Notamacropus eugenii: one gene and its partner. The main gene of each other region encodes a partner of the protein of the gene in region 2 in a complex. Links are inferred from orthologs where the notes say so. Each region holds a gene or a part of one and is shown on either strand. Other genes may lie near its edges.

Region 1 (6,952 bases), on a different chromosome or scaffold from region 2:
CACTCTCTGTAGTAGAGTTTGAATGCTTGGCAATTCAGCTCTTGAAAGGACCTCAGTGTCCAGTACCTTATCTTATCGGGTGATCTTCAGAATCTTCCTAAGACAATTCAAATAGAAGTGATTTGGTTTCCTGGCATGACATTGGTATATTGCCCAGGTTTTACAGGCATAGTACAATGGAGTCAGCATAACAGTTCTGTAGACTTTCAGTTTGGTAGGCAGCCTAATACCTCTTCTCTCTCACATTTTCCTTCAGTCACCCAAACACTGAACTATGTCTGGCGATGTGTGCATCATCTTTGTGCATATTCTTGTAAAGTGTACTACCACGGTAAGTGAACTTATCCACATCATTCAAAATGTCTCCATTTGCTATAACTGATGGTTCCATGAATGGATGGTGTAGAGGGGTGCTGGATGGTGTATCTTCTTGGTGTTAACTGTCAGACCAAAATTAGCACAAGCAGCAGAGAATCAATCCATATTCTGCTTCATCTCAGTCTCAGAAGCTACACTGAGTGCACAATCATGTGCAAGCAAAAAGTCATGCACCAACTCTCCATTTTAGTCTTGGTGTGTAGCCTTTTCAAGTTAAATAATTTACCCTCAGTGTGGTCACTGACCTTGATGCCATTTTTGTCCTCTCTGAAGGCATCTGAGAACACTGCTGAAAATATCATGCTGAAAAGTATGGGAGCAGGCATAAAGCTTTGTTTCACTCTTTTGGTGACTGGGAAAGTTTGAGAGCTGTTAAGGTAAGCTCAGTTCTCATGTGAACGGTCTCGGGTCAGGTATGAGGCCCCCCAGAGAACAGCTGGGAATTGAGGAGTGAGACACGAGCTATCTCGTTTTCCACCTCTTCTCAGTGGAAACTTGCTGGGGAGAGCATCCTACCCTTGAGATTGGTCCGTGTTCTGAGCACACCTTTTGTTAATTAGCTAAGGGGCTGAGAGCATGCACAGTGTCCATGAGCGAACTATGCAGCAGGGAGAGCTTAAATGGGGATAGGAAAGCCTGAGAGGGGGTTGTTGTTGTTCTTCCTTGCTCCTCGGGAGGGAGAAGGGGGCTCCCGTGGGGAGCACTAGCCCTGCATGCTGACATGTAGCTTGTATCCGGAATAAAGCCTACACCCCTGTTTGACTCTGGAGGTCTCTTCTCTCATATGTTTATCTGGCTGGCCACCAAAGACCTGATATAAGTAAGAGGACCCGGGCAGCCCACGGCAATTAGGCCAGTCAGAGAGCATCATCCATTGTCCAGAACTCATGAAAGCATGCCATCATGGAATTGGGGTACGATACTAATGAACTTCTCTGGGCAACTAAAATTTGCCTTGATTTTCCACACACCCTCATGATTGACATTAACAAAGACATTGGGCAGATTGAAAAATGTATTCAGACTTCTGTTTTGCTCATGGTAGAGTTGTCAGGCAAAAACACCATATCAACCATTCCTCAACCCTTTCAGAAGCCACACTTCAATGTGCTTAAAGAGGATAAGCTTTAACTATTACCTCTGTGTTGATGACTCTCAGCCTCTAAAAAACTAGCTCTAAAAAACTCTCTTCTAAGTTCCAGACCTGTATTTCCAACTGCCTAATAGTCTCTACCAAAATGTCCCACTTTTAACTCATATTCAACACTTCTAAAACTAGGCTATCTTTTTCCTTTAATCTGCTCCTCCTTTTCAGTGCCCAGAGCCTCTGGGGCTTCTTTTCCAACTTCTTTTGGAATTGAAAGAATGGGTTCCTAAAGGGGGAGATTCAGTAAGGAACACTGAAGGACTAGATTTCTAATACTATGATGGATGAGACCACTCTAATGTTCTTCTCATTGATTATCAGGCTGACTTAATTAGCTTTTTGTAAAGGGCAATTACCAAGGTAGTTTAATAAGAACATTTGGTACAAGAAACCTGGGCTACACTCTCTTACAAGTGTAAAGAATCCAGGGGAAGAGTAGACTGGTTGTGAGGGAAATGGGCAGGATACACATGGGACAAAGGGGTAAATTCATATCACCTGGGTACTGGATTCCATAGTCAGCATTATTTTCTAGAACAAGGGATCTGGCTCCTTGTAATTGTTTCCTTCCTTGGGTAGCTATCCTTCAACATCTCTCTATGTCCATGTTTATCCCTGGTTTGTTTCTCCCTGCTCTTGGCTGGATGCCTTGTCTCTTCTCTTCTCTCCAATGACATGGTCAATGGGGATGGGGGGTGAGGGGTGGAAGGGAAATGAGAGAGAGGGAAAAATTATTTCCCCCTCCAAAGGAGTAATTCCCTCTGAACCTGAAGTGATTCTTTGAGAGATGGCTGGACTAGGTCAGCTACTGCAAATCCTTTGTTATTTAAATCCTCCAGGGATATAGTTAGCCTAGTGCAGGTCTTTATCTCTCACTAATGTTACTGAAATAACCACCTAAACAGACTTTTCACCTCCAATTCATCCTTTTCTCTTTCTCTAACCCTTAACACTACTGCCAGACTAATCCTTATGCATATAGAAGGGTGGCTGTGGATTGATTTAGTCAGTCAAGTCATTCCCACATCAAAAAAGTAGGCTATGGCCTGTCCCCAAATTATTAATACTGCATCCTTATATTTAAGTACAAGCCTGTCAGAAACAAGTTTTTAAATTAGTGTAACATTATTTTCCTCCTCTTTTTGATTATGGTTATAACGTTGGTAATAATATAAGACCTGAATGTATAAAGTGAATCCCTTTGTCCTCAAACCTCAAACCATGGCCACATCCATCTGAGTATTTCCAGCAGCAAGTATAAGTGGAACCCGGATGGAAGGGAGAGAGACATGGGGGAAAGAGACTAGAAGAGGGAAAATTACCAACTCTTTCCCCACTAAGTAGACCTCCAAGTCTGAGAGCAGACATTTAGACCCTTAGCTGTCCAAGTCACCTCTTTTGGTCCCAGATGTGCAAACTACCTGAACCATGATAATGAAGGTGATTTAACCTTAAACTTTCACTTCAACCCTATTATGATAACAACCCACAGCCCCAAATCTAATTCTAGTCCATATCCTAGACAACTACATCCAGTAGTTAAAGATTTAGTAGAGCTGAGCAGGGAATCTAGGCTTACCCAAGGCATATATTGAGGTAAGGGGATACTTAGATATTTGAAGTTGTTTAGTAGGGGCGAAATCAGGAAACTTGTGGAGGCAATAGGAACAATTTAGGGTCAGTTTCAGGGGAGATGATGTTGACTGTGACTGTCATTATTCAGGTTGAGTCAGCACCTCTAACCTTATTCCATTCCCTCCAGGTTTTAACTCCACAGAATTTTGAGAATTTGTTCTATCTGCCCCTATCTGTCATGCTGGGTTCTGGACACCATCATGAGAATCCATTCATATTCCTTTCTTTGATGCTCTTAGGACCCAACGCTAATTCCCATAGGAGCTCTCACCTTCCTATCCACTAACCCACTGCTTATCCTCCTAAGAGCCAGCGACCCTGAAGGGAGGATAACAAGGCTCCAGTCCCCCCTTGCCCAGGCCCTTTCCCCGCCCAAAGAGGCCCCTTTCCCTCCCCTCCTCCTCTCGAGTTAGACTGGGCTGACATCAGAGGGTGTTCCCCTGGAAAAGAAATTCTGAGTTACCCGGCCCAAGGCCCAGCTCCAGGCAGCCCCTAGCTCGTTCCCAGTTCCTATTCTCCACCCCAGTCTGCTGCAGTCCCCAAATCCATACATTAGTTCAGTGAGGCCAGCGACCTCAGCCTGAGCCCCCAAACTTCCAGCTCAACTAAACTAAATTCCCTGTTCTTAGACCCCCTAAAGCAACTTGAGTTCCCCCACTTCCAAGGAGGAAACGGGGCGACTAAAGGGAGAAGAACAGGGAGTTCGGGAATCTAGGATTGCACGATTAGAGAGTTCAAGGGTCCTCTCTCAGAGAACTGCAAACTGCTTAGTTTCCAGGCTTCGAGGGGGAGCTGTCCAGCGAGTCGGGGCGCCTCGCTTTGAAGGGGAGGAGAGTCAAAGTTTTGGCGGGGCAGGAAGAGAAGAAGAGGCCACCGGGTGGGGAGGGGAAGCTGACTCCCCCTCTAGCCGTCCGGTCCGGGGCGTCCCCCGCCCCCCACGTGTCCACTGCTGCCCCAGCCCCTCGGAGGAAACGGCGCCGCTTCCTGCGGCTAGGGCCGGGGATATAGGCGTCCAGCCCCCCGCCCTGGCCCTGGCTCTGGGTCCGCCAGCTGCCTCTCTGCTTCGGCTGCACCATGGTCTCAATCGGAACCGGCTGTTCTGGCTCTCCTCATCTCCCTGCGACCCCAGCCAGACTTCGAAGCCCCCTCTGGCTCCTCCTCCTGCTCTGTTGTGAGTGAGATGCTTCCCGGGGCCTGGGGAAAGGGAGCCAGAAAGAGGGGCTGAGGAGAGGGGCAGGAGGAAGGACGGGTGTGAAGGACCGGGATGGAGGAGTTAGGGCTACTGAGAGAGAGGTGGCTCCGAATTTGGCGCACCATGTGTCTTGAAGCCCTCCACCCTACACCCTCTCGAGGAAGGTCCGAGCACTGTGGGGAAAAGGGTAAGGATGAGGAGGAAAGGAAGAACTTTGTGGGGGAGGAGTACGGGTTCAAGGAAGCTGTGGCCTGACTTTTCTTTCTAGCAGGGGCCTGTCCCAACCAGTTCCTTCCGGGAGCTTGGAAAAACCTATGCATGAAAGACTCAGTAGTCCCCTTTGCCCTAGTAAGTCCCAAGCCAGACTAACTTAGTCTTACCAGCAGCTAAGTCAGGAGAGCTTACATTGACATAGCAGTTTGCAGAGCACCGGTCTTGAAGCAGCCCTTGTCAGGAAGGTAGTTAAGTGTTACTGCCCCGATTTTACAAAAAATGGAAAACAGAGATTGTGAGGGATTGGGTGACTTGATCATTGCCATGAAGCTTGATCGAGATATCCAAATCTTCCTTGCTCTGGGACTCCAAAGCACCTGGGCCTTCTGACTCCAAACACATCACTTTTGCCAACCCATGCATGGATTCTTGAAAGGCTGTCCCTGGCCATCCTTTCTCCTTTCCCTTCTCCTTAATCCTTGCTCCCATCCTTTCTGCATTACCCTTGCAGCACTGGACTGAGGTTGATCCCCAGGACTTGCTGTCTCACTTCAGTTCATAGCTTCTTCTTCCCACAGTTACCCTAAATGCCCGAGGCTCTGAAGCTCAGACAGTCCCTGATATCACGGAACCCTCTAAATGGCAAAATGGTGAGTGTCCAATGACTGAAGAAAAGTGGCATTAAAAGAAGGGTCCAATTCCTGGCAATGCTTCCCCGGGGCATTCCCTATATACCTACATTGTTCTCTCTATCTGGCTGCTCCCTGTCCCCTGCCCTGGTAAACACAATTATTGCCCTTCCCCTTTGTTTCCTTTTCTCCCTCTATGTCTTTTGCTATTTTAAGCTCCTTAGTTGATTAAGGAGTTTGAGAGTATCCAGGGCTTCCATGGAATCTCAGGATTTGGAAGGAGGAGGAGAGATACCTTTGGTGGGGAAGATGTTCAGAGTTGTAAGAGTGGAAAGGCACCAAGGCACACAGGTGTGAAGGACCTTTTGCATTTGTGCCTATAGTGGAGGTGACCTCTGAGCAGAACTATGAACTAACAGCCAGACAATGCTGGTCGGACTATGAGGAACACATGGGAAACATCAGCAGAGAGGACTGGTGTGAATGGGACATGATCAGCAGGTAGGAGGCAGAGGCTGGGCTGGGAACTAGGCCATGGGCCTGGGGTAATAGACCAGAACCTAATGGGTGGGAACCTACTTCGAAGGGCTGGGGATTATCTTGAAGAATGAAGTACAAATGAAGGCAGGGCCCTGGGTCTGGGGTACAGGAGATGGCCTTTCCCCAGTCCTCCCTCATTCTGATTCTCATTTTACCCTTTCCCCCACCCCCACAGGCCATACAGCAACTTACAATACTGCCTGGAGAAACTGGCAGAATTTTTCAAACTGGGTTTCCCCAATCCCTGGGCTGAGCAGATCATCTTCCAGAGCCACCAGATGTACTTTGCCAACTGCTCATTAGAGCGTCGGCCCCTCTTCTTTGACCCCCCAGAGGAGGTGCTGCTCGCACTGATCATTGCTCCCATCTGCCTTATCCCTTTCCTTGTTACCCTGGTGGTATGGCGGAGTAAGGACAGTGAGGTCCAGACATAAAACATCCCTACCCCTCATCAAAATATCTCAGTCTAATTTCCAGTTCCTCTCCTCCCTGGGACTCTATTCCATCACCCCTACCCCACCCTGCCCTCAATAACCCCTTGGGGAAGCTCAGTCTGAACTTCTGGGGGAAATGGGGGCAGAAAGGGAAAGACAGATGGGAACATGGGCTCTAGAATTACCATAACAAATAAACCAATTGTTGGGTTTTCCCCATAGAAGTTCTCCATAAAGTCATGTGTCTTATCTCTCAGAGTCTTTGTTTATGGCATGATCCCTGGGCTTCAAGTCGCAAGGATGGAAGGAACCAGATGGAGTCCACACTCCCTCTCATAAAAGCTTTCCTGATCTTTTCCTCCATTCCTGCTCCTTCCTCTGAGGGTAGGGCCCTTCCTGACACTGCTCCTAACCCAGCTCCAGGAAACATTCAGGAAACAACTCCCATCCGCCCTGGATAGGAAGATATGATGGGGGGAGGGGGTGCAGGGAGGGGGAAATATAATATCCTTACTTTCCTGGCCTTAGTTCCCTTTGTAGGGCCTGAAGGGCTAGACATTCTAAGAGGACTCCAAGGAGATTCATCCAAAGAGGTCCAGGACAGACAGCAGTATGTAACAGAGGCTCTCTCCCAGTCACACTGAGGTCCCTCCTGGTCCCTGTTCTCCCCTCTCCCTCTAAGACAGAAGTGTTATCTACAGTTCTAGACACCAAACTGCAGCCTGGCCATGTGCTGCCCTCTGGTGTCCATGCAAATCAAGGACACTCAAAGGTGGATGGGCCC
Region 2 (7,792 bases):
GAGGACCAAATGAGATAATTGTCATGAGTAAGACTTGCATAGTATCCCTTCTGTATCACTCAATTTTGAAACTAAATCTTGGAGGCCAGAGATTGGCAGGTGCTGTAAAGCCCCAAGAGAATGGAGGTGAGTGCTATTCTGCTCTTAGAACAGCAGCTGCTGTGACCACAGCCTGTGCCTGATGTTAGCTCCAGGTCACCACCCAAGGTTACAGATCAAGTGGCTTCGATGATCATGAAACAGTCACATAAACTGATCACGGAGTCCTATAAAAGCTTTGTTTTTGTAAGTACCCCTGAGGTCTGGCTGGGCTTCTTCTCAAAAGGGAGAGGGTTCAGGGATTTGAGCAGATGCCTTGGACATGGGAGAGGCATTTCAGAACAGACTTCCTAAGCCCCACTTGGCAAAAACATTTCAAAGCCACTGTCTCCATTTGGGAAATTTTTTTTCCTTCCTGTTGGTTAGAAGCTTTCTGGTCTCCAGGCAGTGAGAGAGAAGATGAAAGCCCCACTCTCCTCTTTAGAGTAAAGCTCAGAGAGGCGGGGCTGTAGATGGGAAGGGGATGAATGACAAAGATGGATGAATTTGCTTTGGCTTTTAGATCAAGCTCTTTCCTGGCCTAGGAGCCCATGGCTAGCACTTCTAGAAGCTCTGCAGACTGGAGGACTCTTCAGGCTAGGTCGCATCTCAACAAAATGAGTTCGGGTTTAGAAGGGAGTGGGGGATCACCAGGCCTGAGGGAAGCCAGGGCTGGTGTCTTTGGGGCTGCTATCCTGCTTTTCAGCTGGGGCTACAAATCCTGAAAAAAGGAAGACTGCTTCGATTGGCTCATTTCTTGCTTGTCTGCAGGAGAGCCAGGAGGGGAAGGAATCTCCCTCCTAGCTTTCTGATGCAATGGCAAATGGGTGGCAGGAAGGGTGACTTGGGTGACCAGCATGCTACCTTGACCAATAGCCATTCTGGCAGCACTTTCCAGATAATAGCATTTCTCCACTGGAGAAAATCATACTTAAAATGAACTTCAGGTTTAAGGCATGAAACCAAAGCAAGCCTGCCTGTGAGGGCCCCGGCAACACTTAAGAGTTTGGGCACAGACACTTCGGACATTTTGAAAATCTAATGATCTTGTCCTAATTTCATAATGCAGTTACATAAGCGTGTCATTTGCATATTTTAACATTGGTCTTCTTCCTGAGCTAGGGTCATTGGAAAGCCCTGTCTGTTTGGGAAGTTTGTGGGTATTGGGCAAGAACAGAGAGCCACTTTTATGTCCTATGTCCTTAGCATGTAGAATAGGGCAGGCAACTAGATGCACATGTCTCCCAGAGTCAACCTTTTCAGGCTCCCTTCCCTTCCCAGGTCTTTTGGTGATTTCCACAATCACTCTGAGAGTACCTGGAGACTCACAGCCCTTGGGGCCCCTCTAGCCTGCCTAGGGAGTTACTGGGTTCTGGGGCTCCCTCCTTAACACAGCCCATCCTGGGTTCTCCAGTGTCCCTAGTTCAATCTCTCTCTCTCTCTCTCTCTCTCTCTCTCTCTCTCTCTCTCTCTCTCTTTTTCCCTCATTCCCTCCCTGCCTTCCTCCCCCTCTCACCATAGCAGCCATGACTCTTTTGCTATCACCATCAGACTGAATCTCTCTAGGCCAAAGGCCACCTCAGGAAGAACGTTATTGCGTAGGACCAGATCTTAGCGGTTCCAACCCATTCCATCGCATCCTATCCCTTCCCAACCCATTAGGACCTGTCTGGTCGTCCCATCCTGTCACATCCCATCCCTCCATAGAGAAAAACCTTCAGGAAAAAGACTGAAGGTCTCCCAGACTCTCACAGGACAGGAGAATTCGAGGCTGGGCAACCGACCAGGGTGGGCCTTTAGCAGCACCACCATACTGTAATTACAGCTGGTTGAGCCCCATTCCCACACCCGGGCCAGGCCAGCCTATGGCGGCAAGCGGGGAGGGGGCGGAGGGCTTGTCTTGCTCTCTGGGACCTGTCTAGAATAAGGCGCCCAGCTTGAGCTCTGTCCACCTCTCTGAAGTTAAAAGAAGTCATCTGGTAACTTTGACGTCTATAAAACATCTGGGGGAGAGGAGCAGCTGTGGTAGGAGCGGCCAGGCCCTTCTGCTCTGGGTAGGAGGGACCCAGGGACAGCGCTGCCCACTCACTGCCCAAGAGTTCTCTCTCTTTTGTCGTTCTGCCTAGTTTACAGCCGAGTAAACCGAGGCACCCAGAAGAGAGAGATCACTTAGCCACCAAGTAGCTGGGGCCGGATTTACACCCAGAACTCCTGACTGCAAGAGCTGCGTTCTCGGGCTGCAGCCGCCGCCAAAAGCCATCTTCGTAAGAGAATATGCCCAACCGCTGCTCGAATTGCGACCAGACCGGGAACCCTGAGTCAACCTCCCTCCAAGGCTCGGAGGGTATCCATCTTCCCTCGGCAGTGCAGCCCCTGGTCGGCTCCAGGTCCTGTCCAACCCTTCCAGTGCCAGGCGATTCCCAGCTCTGTGCACACCCCAGAGCCACCAGCGCCCGCGCACACCCAGGTATACACATACACGCGCACTCTGCTGGCGGCAGAGGCGCCCACCAAGCTGCGTGTGCTACGAGACACGCGGCCCGGTCCTCTGCGCCACCCTCCCGCTGCCACACCATAAGATCCTGGGGCGCCCGGGTGTGGGACAGAACTGGGCAAGCCAGGCGCGTCAGAGATGGTTGAGTTAGGTTAGAAGCTCGCGCCCAGTCCCTGGGCTCTGCCTCCCTGCCATCTCCCCTACACCCTCCAGGGCTCCGGGGAAGGGGGCGCTCGGGCGCAAAGCACAGGTGGGTGCCTGCTTATCTCCGCAAACGTCCGCAGCTCCTTCCCTCCGGGCCGCCCACCTAGGAGCTTCGGGTTCCCCACTTCTCCTGCTCTCCGGATACCCCCCCACCAGGATGCAGGAGGCCAAACTTGTGGGCACTTACCCGGTGGCCGCTTCCTGAGCCCCTCCGCGGATCTAGCTCTGCTCCTCGCCGTTCTCTCTGGTCCCCTCCTGGGGTCCTGGCTCGGTCTTCAGGCCCGCCACAGATCACCCCCCCGCCCCGAGGTGGGGCCCCCACTGCGCTCGGGCAGAGCAGCGCAGCTCAAGCCGCCGTCTTCACTCCCAGGGAGCGGGGGGCTAGGGGGGCATCGCCTCCCTCGAGGCTGAGCTCTCGGACGTCAGTCCTCTTGTCGATACGTCAGTCAGTCCCGGGCACAGCGGTCGCCTCTCAGAGTCAGGTCCGGGTCCGAGTCCGAGAGCAGGAGCGCCCCCGGTACGCTGGCGGGAGCTCCGGCGGTAGGCTCTGCGCGCAGGCTGAGGGGAAGCTCGCTGCTTAGCCAGCCCAGGCAGGGGGAGAGCTGCCCCGGAGGCTTCGGTCGCTCAGCCCTGGAGGAAGGCGGAGAGTTAGGGCAGCTTCTTCCCCGCCCCCTGCCCCCAGCCCTCTGGGCTTAGACCCGACTGTGGCCACGACTGAGCGTCTTAGCTGCCGGAGTGGTCCTAGGAGCTTCCAGGTAACGCGCGCCCTCCTCCCCCTCCCCCACTCTTCCTCCCTCCCCTGTCTTCCTCTTCTTCTTCCTTCTCCACCCGCTTCACTCCTCGCGCTCCCCCCCACCCCCCATTGCTCCTCCTCCCTCCTCTTTTTTCCCTTCCCCTCCCAGGTCCAGGGACGCAAGCTGGGTGGGTGAGGATGGAAAGTGTGCGTGTCTAGCGAGTGCGTGCGGGTGTGTATGTGTATGTCTGGGGGACAGCCTACCCGGAGATGGAAAGCAGGAATGGAGGTGAGTGTGGATAAGAGGGAGAACACGTCTCGGGAGGGGAACTTGGAGTCCAAAGGAGAATAGAGACAGAGAAAGGGCTGGAGGAGCTGGGGAGCTGGGGGGGTTGAGGGATCTGGGGGAGCAGCTGAACCCCGCCAGTCTGCCTCATGGAGATGGATGCTGTGGTGGATACATGCCAGGCCTTACTTCGGGTATGAAGGAGCAGAGTTGCCCCTACTTTGGAGGGAAGGGGTGCTCAGCAGTGTCTCCCAACCTCACTGCCAACCTCGTCCCAGAAGGGCATTCCTCACGGTACGGGTAACCTCCTGCAAAGGACAAGGCTTCTCAGACACAGCCCTGACTGGGGCAGGATGGGGAAGAAGGGCTGAGCAGGGCTGGGCAGGGCTGGGCTGGGCAGGGCAGGGCTGGGCAGGGCTGGGCTGGGACTAGTTTGGTTTGGGCAGGGTGGGCAGTTGTCCTAGTTGGGGCTGGAGCTTGGAAGTGGCAGATGAATTTCCTGCTAATGGGTTTCTTGCTAATGTCCATGCTAGTGCCTGGGCCAATGGTTTTTACGAAGGGGATTTGTTCTGTGAAGCTTAGATTCAATCAAAGGGTTGCACTTGAGGACCTGAAGGGCCACATGTGACCTGGAGATCAAAGCTTTCCTATCCCTTGACCAGATCTGGGGGAGGGACAATCTGGCTGGGGACGGGGATAAGGGAGTTTTGTCTGAGAACATCTGCCTGGAGCCTCTTCCCCCCATTCCAGGGAGCCTGACATTGCAGTCACAGCAGGTACGCAGCTAGGGAGAAAGGGAGTAACAGCTGTAGATAGTATCAATGTGAAGGGCCTTTGTCCACTGGCCAAAGCGGAGATCCACTGGGAACCTGGGATACCCTTGGCAGCAGCCCATGCTCCTCTCACTTTCCCCTGTGGGAGTATGGGGAGGAGAAAGAGACTTTGAATATCCCCATGAAGTCCTGTAGCCCTGCAGGACTCAGGGTCAGGCATTGTAACTTCCTCTGGGAAAAGGGGCATCCTTTGATTTTGTCTCCTCTATCCACTCCTCTGCAGCTCCAGGGATTTGCCAGTGTACTTCCAAGTGCTCAAGGGATCTCCAAGGTAGGTTACCCTCTGCTCTATCCAGGCTCTGGGACCCCAGGCCAAGTTCCTTCGTACATGGGTCCTGACCAAATCCTGTACTTCTGGGCCAACCCTGAGGTACTCACCCACTAGCCTACCTGGAAGGATGTCAGCAAGTGCTGAGTTAAGGATCTTCCCAGGTAGCTGGAGGTCTACTTCCTGATGCAACAGTGGAAGCTTCAAAAAGTCTCTGTGCCCTTAGAGAAACTCCTAGAAGGAGAATCCAGGAATCATGTTCTCACTCCATTTACTTCTCAAACCCTGAAATCTGGCAGCCTAGTGGAGTAGATGCAATGCTGGTCCTGAAGTTAGGAAGACCTGAATTCTAATCTGATCTCAATACCTTACTACCTCTGCAGACATATGGATCCTTCAGTTTATTATTAACAAGCCTGAAATTAGGGGACCCTCTGTCTGGATGTTGGGAGTCTGTGAACCTTCTTCTCTTCTGTCTCTGTCTCTCTCTGTGTCTCTATATATCTCTCTGTCTGCCCTACCTCAATCCTTCATTCTTCCTTGGCACTCACTCTGTGCTCCAACCAATGTTTACACGTCTTGTCAGTTCCGCACCCCACACATTCTTCTCCCAGTCCATGTCCTCAGCACCCCTTGAGGTCTTCTAATCAGTCTCCAATCCATCCTCAGCACACCTGCTAACAACTTCCTAAAGCTCAAGGGAGACCAGAGGACCTCACTTGTTCAAGTAACTTCAGAGATCCCCCCCTGCCTCTTCTATGAAATAACTCCCCACCCCTCAGTTTGGCTTCACCACCTGGCTCCAACATCTGTTTCCAATGATTTCACATCCCCCCCCCCCCCTTCACTCGCTCCATGTTCCTCCTGGAGACCCGTTTGTTAGTCTCCATATGTGACATTCCAACTACTGCCTTTCGCCTCTCACAGGTTGTTCCCCATGCTTAGATTTCTCTCACTCTTTACTTCTGTTCATGTGCAGAGGTGCACTGATCTCCCCCTCCCCCAAACCAGAGACCTTTTTAGTACCAGAGACAGCACTAGTGCTCTTAACATAGGGATGAGCACTGTCTAAGGTCCTTTCTGGATCAGAAATGTTGTGCTACTTGGAAATACTGCCTTTTTTCATGAAGCCTGCCCCGCTCACACCCTGCTCACACCCTGAACCCTAACCCTGAGAGGGGTGTCTCTGTACTTCTCTGCGCACTTCTAATGGCTCTGATTTGTCCTACTCCACTGTTCAGTCATTTGAGTGCTTGTCCCTCCCCACCTCTGCCCCACTCCCCATATCTCATGCCACATGAGGGCAGGGGCTTCCTTTTACTCTCTTGTGGTCCCTGAGGTTTCTAGTAGAGGTCCCAGTACATAGTAAGCTTTCAATAACCATTGTTTATTTTGAACTCAAAGATGCATCTAGATGTTAATTAGATAGAGATCTGAGTCTGTGTGTGACTATTCACATCCTGTCCTATGCCTGACACCTTCTATTCTTACATTCTCCCTTCTTCCTCCCTCCTCTCTCCCAGCCTCTAACTCTGAGTCTTCATTAAGTGAAAGGAAGAAAGGAAGGTGAGCAAGAAGGCAGTCAGCTCTCACTTTGACACTTGGAGACTGTTATATCATGACTTTATCCAAAGCCTAAAATGAGCCCTTCATGGATAGAGTCAGGTTAACATCCTTAATTCACTCAACAAGCATTTATTAAATGCTTCCTCTGTGCCAGGAACTGAGTTCCGCAGCTTCAAAGGCAAACTTCAAATAATATCTGCCCTCCAAGAGCTTCTATTCTTAGGGGGAGGGGGAAACAGTATGAATTAGCACATACAATCTGCAGGAAAGCATTAGCATGGGGTGCAGCAGGACATACAGTAGGAAGTGGGGCTTGAGCTTAGCTTGAAGGGAATCTAGTTGTTCTGGAAGGTAGATGTGAGGAGGGAGGACATTCCTGGCATGAGGAACATGCTGGGCAAGGAAAGGCATGGAGATGGGATGATGTGTGGGCAGAAGTGAGTGGACCAGTTTGACTAGATAGGGGGTGGGGAACCTTCAGCCTTGAGGCCACATGTGGCTTTCTAGGTCCTCAGGTGCAGCCTTTTGACTGAGCCCAAGTTTTACAGAACAAATTCTTTTATGAAGGGGATTTGTTCTGTGAAGTTTGCATTCAGTCAAAGGGCCACACTCGAGGACCTAGAGGGCCACATGTGGTCTTGAGACCACATGCTCCCCATCCCTGGACTAGACGACAGCCTGTGTCTGAAGACTCATCTGACACTGGAACAGGTTCTAGTGGGGATTCCTTTTGGGCCCAGGGTGGCCACTGAGGTCCTTTCCAAGTCTCCAATCTGTGATTCTGTGAATCAGCCTGGAAAAGTAAGCTGGAGTCAGCCTGGGAGGAAGAAGTCCCTATAATGAAGTAGACCTCAGATCTTCTCCATGATCTGAGATGCCTTCTTTCTCCCAGGCCTTATTTTTTTTAAATAAGGTTTGATACTAGGATCTGATAAGGTTTGATACCTGAGTAGTTCAGAGAGGTTACACAAAATACAGAATTCCATTGGTTGATAAACTTTGCTTTAAGGGCCCAAAATGAAGATGGATAAGGGAGGAGTCATCTCTGGTGACCAAATGGTAATAAGATGGTCACCTGCTCATGTTGGGCAAGAAAGTGTGGTCTGGAGGTACAAAAATAAGTTGGAGGACTTTCCATATAATTGAGTCGCCTCTGCCATGTTCACTTGGTCACTGTAATAAGGAAAAACAAGGGTGGGGGTTCTCCAGTCAACTTTCTATAATTAAGCAAGTGAACTTACAATCTTCAGTTCACAGGTCTGGGGCCTAATGCTCAGAATATACTATCCCCACTGCTCTGAAATCACATCAAACTGATTCATGCTGACTG

What was found. The genes of interacting proteins can lie anywhere in the genome.
Region 1: the proteins of CALCR (region 2) and RAMP2 are in contact, whole or in part, in a cryo-EM structure (PDB 7TYX), measured with the Homo sapiens proteins. The link is inferred for Notamacropus eugenii from reciprocal best matches to the Homo sapiens genes CALCR and RAMP2. Residues at the interface, in NP_001158210.1 of Homo sapiens: Arg45, Lys46, Met48, Met49, Asp50, Gln52, Tyr53, Lys54, Tyr56, Asp57, Met59, Gln60, Trp76, Gly78, Arg126, Phe235, Leu238, Ile242, Thr246, Val250, Glu255, Lys256, Gln257, Arg258, Trp261, Tyr262, Leu264, Leu265, Phe269, Pro273; in NP_005845.2 of Homo sapiens: Trp86, Tyr93, Ser94, Arg97, Asp98, Glu101, Leu109, Pro112, Glu117, Ile120, Phe121, His124, Phe128, Cys131, Pro136, Phe138, Ser139, Asp140, Pro141, Leu146, Met149, Ile150, Pro153, Ile154, Leu156, Ile157, Leu160, Ile161, Leu163, Val164.

The regions. Positions count from the first base shown.
Region 1 is NC_092873.1:359,293,129-359,300,080, forward strand, and holds RAMP2 (receptor activity-modifying protein 2), read left to right. Parts: upstream 1-4,099; 5' UTR 4,100-4,234; coding exon of another isoform or gene 4,235-4,331; 5' UTR 4,332-4,424; coding exon 4,425-4,539; intron 4,540-5,143; coding exon 5,144-5,215; intron 5,216-5,577; coding exon 5,578-5,695; intron 5,696-5,909; coding exon 5,910-6,168; 3' UTR 6,169-6,404; downstream 6,405-6,952. UniProt on the Homo sapiens protein: Accessory protein that interacts with and modulates the function of G-protein coupled receptors including calcitonin gene-related peptide type 1 receptor (CALCRL) and calcitonin receptor (CALCR). Required for the transport of CALCRL to the plasma membrane.
Region 2 is NC_092874.1:489,278,833-489,286,624, forward strand, and holds the start of CALCR (calcitonin receptor), read right to left. Parts: upstream 3,055-7,792; 5' UTR 2,964-3,054; intron 1-2,963. UniProt on the Homo sapiens protein: G protein-coupled receptor activated by ligand peptides amylin (IAPP), calcitonin (CT/CALCA) and calcitonin gene-related peptide type 1 (CGRP1/CALCA).